Bombyx mori: one gene and its partner. The protein of the gene in region 1 interacts with the protein of each later gene in a pairwise test. Links are inferred from orthologs where the notes say so. Each region holds a gene or a part of one and is shown in the gene's direction. Other genes may lie near its edges.

Region 1 (3,519 bases):
CTGCGACATTTTCACAGTCCCAAGACATGGCTATATGGACTAATGACTACATGCGAGGTACCGGGATGGAGATGTACACAGAGACCCTTAGTCCTACGTTTATCGGGATGCCTTTCATTGAAGCAGCCGAGTAAGTGGGCGCTCAGAGACGCAAACATGTCGTACGACAAAGTCACACAACGTTTTTTTTGTTATTCAATACCGTACCAGTGTTTGAGCATACCATACCGCCACGAATGCGGGAAAATCGTCACTAAACGATTCGCAACGCTTCATCATTTGGTGTTCTTTTTTTATTTGTTTGCCCGCTTCATATGTGATTCGAGTCTCAATGTTTTATGTGTAATGGTTTTAGAGGTACTGCACTGAATAATGCCTCGACTGGTATAGAGCGAATAAATAACACCCGTTGGCTTACTAATCGTCTGGTGGAGTGGAAGGGACGACAGTGGCCGCCCGCGTGAGACTAACGAAGCAAAGGCTTTAGCGTCTTCTGTTGGTTGATTGCAGTCCCCCGACACTCAAGCCTGGCAGAACGATTACCTGCAGGGTACCGGATGCGAGATGTACACTGAAACTCTGTCGACCTCCTTCACGGGAATGTCGTTCCCTCAGGCCAGCGAGTAAGCCCCTCCTACCCTGGCCCCGCCTGCACTCGCACCGTAGACACTGTGTGCCGAATCGCTAACCCTTAGCTATTTGAGTGTTAACTAAACTTTGTAGACCTGCATCTCGTTGGCTGAATAAGATAGATAGTAATGGTTATTACCAGGTTTCTGAATATACCTTTTTGCATGAGGGGTCCATGATAGATGGCTGTACTTTTGGTTGGATTCATTTAGATAAACCTTTCGTGAATATTGATCAAGTGCTTCAGTACGTTCTGTCCGATTTATGGTATTGACATTTGTTATTGACAATCAGTATGATTTATAGTGTAATTGGTAATCTCATACGATTCGTTTTTTTTTTTTTTTTTTCGAATTACTTCAGTGCAGTGACGTTTCTTTGGCAAGTACTTCACTGATATTAAAATTACTAACTGCATCAGTGCCCGTTTGCATGATAACGTAAATAGTTCAACTGTCTTTGACTTTTTTTTTTTTTTTTTTTTTTTTCAACTGTCTTTGACCTGCCACACCGCTTTGCGTGTCCAATACTTTATTAATACTACTACTAACGCATTTATAACGTACCTATTCATTTCATCATGTGAATCTATCATACAGACATAGCTACGATTGAATGTCATTGTAATAATTGTAAATAGACATGCTTTAACAAAAACCGACTTCAAATAGAAAAAAAAAGATATTCCAAAACAAATGAATGTACACTAAAAACAATAATCATCGAGATCGGTTGGCGTGATTTTGAGTTATTGAGTTATTCATCTATTTGTCGCCACGTACTTAATGCAAATTTAAGACATATAATAATATGGTTTTCTGATGGATACCATTATCAGAACTGGACTAAATTGTAATGGAACTACACGGGACTACAATTTGTAGGCAGCGGCTTGGCTCTGCCCCAGGCATTGCTGAAGTTCATGGGCGACGGTAACCACTCACCATCAGGTGGGCCGTATGCTCGTCTGCCTACAAGGGCAATAAAAAAAACACGGGAAACGTCAGCTTTCTAATAAAAACAGAATCATCAAAATCGATTCTTCCAGTCAAAAGTTATGAGGTAACAAACATAAAAAACATCCAGTCGAATTGAGAACCTATTCCTTTTTTGAAGTCGGTTAAAAATGCATGGTAACCGCTCTGAATATTAACAACTGTTAATTGAATCTGATTACTTCGTATATTTATTTGTTACTGTTATATGTTAGACTGATGTTTCTTCTCAGGTTATGCTTTACGAAACTCAAGCTTCTTCTATTAGCAATAGAGATCAAGGGAGAAGAGGGAGCCGATAGCAAAATATCGATAAACCCTCGCAACGCGAAAATCCATGCCAATACCCAAGGGTTCTTCATAGCACAGTCGGCTGATGAAGTCAAAAGGTAAGCAAACGTTCGTCGGTTAGAAGTTAATGTTATGCTCTAGCAGTGATGGGCAAACATTTTTAATGGCGGGCCACAAAGCTTAAGAAATTCTAGAGGTGGGCCAGAATTATAGAAAAATGTTTTTTTTTTTCAATAAATAAACTAATACCTGTGACAGAATGCCGAGATAATTAGAATTGGCAAGTTGCATGGCAAGTTGGATGGCAAGTCAATTATGAGATAATGAAAGCTCGAAACACCCCTGACGAATCGGAGCTTTCATTAAAAATTTGAAGATTTTCAATTATAAACGTTAGATTTTTTTTACGCGCCAAAATGCTGACTAGAGTATTTAGGATGGATGGTCTCTCGGCGGGCCGGATTAAATACTTCCGCGGGCCGTACTTTGCCCATCACTGTCTAGAACATTCCGCAAAACGAACGTACATTACGAACATTTCTGCTTCCAGAGCGTGGTTTTATTGTAAGGCCTGCCACGAGGACATCAAAGACGAAACACTCATCAAGAAGTGCAAATGCAAAAACTGTAAGATCACTGTCATGCTTTAATGAATTAACAAACTCTTACTCGTTTCAATAATATAATATAGCAAAAAAATACTCTATAATTGATGCCATTTTATATGAAGAACGCCTCCCGACTAATTCGAACGATTATTAATTCTGTGACATTCTTTCTGGAGAAAAAATTGTAAATTTATAATATTTATTTATTACGTTAATATTATCACGAGCTGTGTCCTTTAATATAAATTATAATCACTTAACACAAAAATTAAATAAATAGATTCAATAATGAACAATGTACAAACACTGTATGTAGGTAAATCGTTTTTGGAACGAAGTTCCTTATGGGACGATACGGAGGGGTACCCTAACCGGGAAAAAACGTCCGTAACGTAAGATTTTTATTATTTATGTATAGTCTTAGTATGATGCCTATACAGTGTCTAATGTATAGTCTACGTGATGACGGTTATTATTATTTTAAAAATTATAATAGAAAATTTAGAATTTTTTTTTTATTTGATTTTTTTTTGTGTTTTCTATTTATGAGATTATTGAGTATAATTAAATCTCGTTTAAAATAACAATATTTAATTTCTCTGACATCAAATGAATTATTTTTATTTTTATCAATAAAAAAATCATAATAATGAATGTAGACCCGAATAATTATTTTCTTTATACCTCGAATAGAACTTAAAATTAATATTTTTATAATAAGGAACTTCGTTCCTATCGGGTGTCCCACGACACCACACATCTTTTTTTTTTCTGGAGGATATTTTGACACAGAATCTCTCTATAACTGACACTGTTTACTTACTGATCGAGACATTAATATGATATATTGTTCGGCCAAACTTTTAGTAACGGCGCACCAGCGGAAGGTTGGAGCCGACATAGGTAACTTGCACAACACCTATAACCTCACAAGTTGACGTTTTCCAATTATTTTTCGTGTATAATCGTTTTGAGTTGCTTTAGTGGTGTTGCGT
Region 2 (2,953 bases), on another chromosome or scaffold:
ATGATATTTTCGAAGTTATTCTTAAAAAATTCAAGACAGCAGATTAATCGTACATGTTTTGGTACTTATTAAAGCATATTTTTATTATTTTGGCATTGATGTTCTAGCGTATATGAGGTCTGATAATAAATTAGCGACATGTAGGCCAAGAGCTTGTTTGTATGTCTACGCCAAATAAACAAAGATTTGTAAGTCCATCAAAAATCGTCTATTGAAAGTATAAATATGACAAAATCGTACTTTGTTTGATTTGACTTGATTTGACTTACCTACTATAGATAGATAAGCGAGGGATGTGATAGTTTTTATTGTCAACAGAAAGATAACCATCCTCCAGTAGAATTATTTTTATCTTATACCTTTAAATTCTTGTATATAAATATATATATAATCTGAATCTTGGAAACGGCTCCAACGATTTTCATAAAATTTAGTATACAGGGGATTTCGGGGGCGATAAATCGATCTAGCTACGATTTATTTTCAGAAAATGTTGTTTATTCGTGTTTTCAATAATCAACTCTTCCCGACATCTATTGGCGAATAATAATACTATTTTTCTTAATTGAGGGCAACTAACCGCTTTAAAGACACAACAAGATGGAGTTATCAAAAAAAAAAAACGAGCAAAGCTCGGTTATCATCTAGTTACCTTTAGAAACGTCGATGCAATTAGTGAGAATAGCAAAAAACACATTTATTATCTATGTGAAAATGCATTTAAAAAAACACTTTCCTAAAAAAGTAATACTAGCAATGCAGCGAAGTACAAAATTATTTTCAAGTATATTTTTATGTACATAAAATTCTAATCTCTGCGTCAACGATATTTTTAGAGGGAAATGTAGGTATGTGATTATTATTAAAAGTTTGGGTACATTGATACATCTTTTTCATTATTATTTTTTAACAATTATTTATAAGTATATTTAATGTTTACTGTGAATGTTTAAATTTATTTTAAATTAGTTTTCGTAAATGGTAAATTTTAAAAAGTTAGTAGCAGAGTAAGAACTGCTTTGGCAACATTAGTGAATTGACCGCTTCCCGTGAGCACATCGTTCGCTTGATCTCGCTCTGTCGATCGAGTCCGGCTGTGGAAGCCATTTTATTTCTGGTGATTGTGACAAAATTGAAAGTACTTTGATAGAACTTTTGCATTTGAAATAAACGTGTCAATGTGTTTTTATATTGGAAGTGTTTTGTGACGTGTAATTGTGATTAGTAAAAATAAGAATGTACGTGCTTAAAATTGGTTTGTGCTGACCTGCCCATATTCTTATACGATCATACCACAAGCATCGATTAGTGCAGTAAAGCGGCCTCTAATAACGGCGAATCGAGGGCATTGGACTGCTTTGTGGTGTGAGCCATGGGCAACAATGCTGCCACCGCTAATAAAAAGGTGGACGCCGCCGAAAGCGTCAAAGAATTCCTCGACCAGGCCAAAGAGGACTTCGAGGAGAAATGGAAGAAGAATCCTACCAACACCGCCGGACTGAACGATTTCGAACGGATAAAAACCCTAGGTACTGGCTCGTTTGGACGAGTCATGATAGTTCAACATAAACCTACTAAAGAATATTACGCTATGAAAATATTAGATAAACAGAAAGTGGTTAAATTGAAACAGGTGGAGCACACTCTAAACGAGAAACGTATCTTACAAGCCATCAACTTTCCGTTTTTGGTGAGCCTTAAATTCCATTTCAAGGACAACTCTAACTTGTACATGGTGTTGGAGTATGTGCCTGGAGGGGAAATGTTCTCGCATTTGCGCAAGGTGGGTCGGTTCTCGGAGCCGCATTCGCGATTCTACGCAGCTCAAATAGTCTTAGCATTTGAGTACCTTCACTATTTGGACCTTATTTATCGGGATCTGAAACCTGAAAACTTGCTAATTGATTCTCAGGGTTACTTAAAAGTTACAGATTTCGGATTCGCTAAACGTGTGAAAGGCCGCACGTGGACTTTGTGCGGCACTCCTGAGTATCTTGCACCTGAAATCATTCTATCCAAGGGATACAACAAAGCTGTGGATTGGTGGGCGTTAGGAGTGCTCGTGTATGAGATGGCGGCTGGCTACCCGCCCTTTTTCGCTGATCAACCCATTCAGATCTATGAAAAAATTGTGTCTGGCAAAGTACGATTTCCATCACATTTTGGTTCAGATCTGAAGGATCTGCTTCGTAACCTACTTCAAGTAGATTTGACCAAACGCTATGGTAACTTGAAGGCTGGTGTCAATGATATAAAAGGTCATAAATGGTTTGCCACCACCGACTGGATTGCCGTCTTCCAGAAGAAGATAGAGGCTCCATTCATACCTCGCTGCAAAGGACCCGGTGACACAAGCAATTTTGATGATTATGAAGAAGAAGCTCTTCGTATTTCTTCCACTGAAAAGTGTGCAAAGGAATTTGCAGAGTTCTGAGCACATAGCTGGTGCCTGCGAGCGGACACTCCCGTGAGTAGGTGTTTTGTTACAGTGAATCTTCCGTGAAAGAGAGTTCGTGGAATAAGAGCTGATTTATCTAGAAACAAGTGGCATTGGGAGTTTATAGACGCTGAAGCGAACCCGAGTTAGCACACTGTGCAGATAAAGTGGAGTGTAGGTGCAATGATAGTAGAAGTGATTTCCGATATTTCGGTGGCGTTCATTTGCTTAGTGCCCTTTCAAGTTGACTAACATAGAGTTGGTAGTGAGAGTTAAAGTTATCCTTGCTGTGGTGATGTCCCTGCATGATTACTCTGACACCTAGTCTGAGCATTACACCAAGCACTACCTAGTTCATTATTTCAGTAGTTATTGTCATTTTGTGGTGTGGTGCTGGAGGTGAGCAGCATTACATTGTTTTTTATGTTTTTATAAAATCAACATTTAAACTTTGTAAGTAGTGTATTAATTGAAAAATATATGTATATATTTATATTTATTTCATAACAGAATATC

The links.
Region 2: the proteins of calcium-activated potassium channel slowpoke (region 1) and cAMP-dependent protein kinase C1 interact in binary tests that used the Drosophila melanogaster proteins (3 or more experiments, as listed by UniProt). The link is inferred for Bombyx mori from reciprocal best matches to the Drosophila melanogaster genes slo and Pka-C1.

Annotation. Positions count from the first base shown.
Region 1 is NC_085115.1:13,429,935-13,433,453, reverse strand, and holds part of calcium-activated potassium channel slowpoke, read left to right. Parts: intron 1-17; coding exon 18-130; intron 131-1,858; coding exon 1,859-2,014; intron 2,015-2,466; coding exon 2,467-2,543; intron 2,544-3,519. UniProt on the Drosophila melanogaster protein: Potassium channel activated by both membrane depolarization or increase in cytosolic Ca(2+) that mediates export of K(+). Its activation dampens the excitatory events that elevate the cytosolic Ca(2+) concentration and/or depolarize the cell membrane.
Region 2 is NC_085129.1:12,556,024-12,558,976, reverse strand, and holds cAMP-dependent protein kinase C1, read left to right. Parts: upstream 1-1,372; coding exon 1,373-2,434; downstream 2,435-2,953. UniProt on the Drosophila melanogaster protein: Serine/threonine-protein kinase involved in memory formation. Promotes long-term memory by phosphorylating meng and by regulating CrebB protein stability and activity.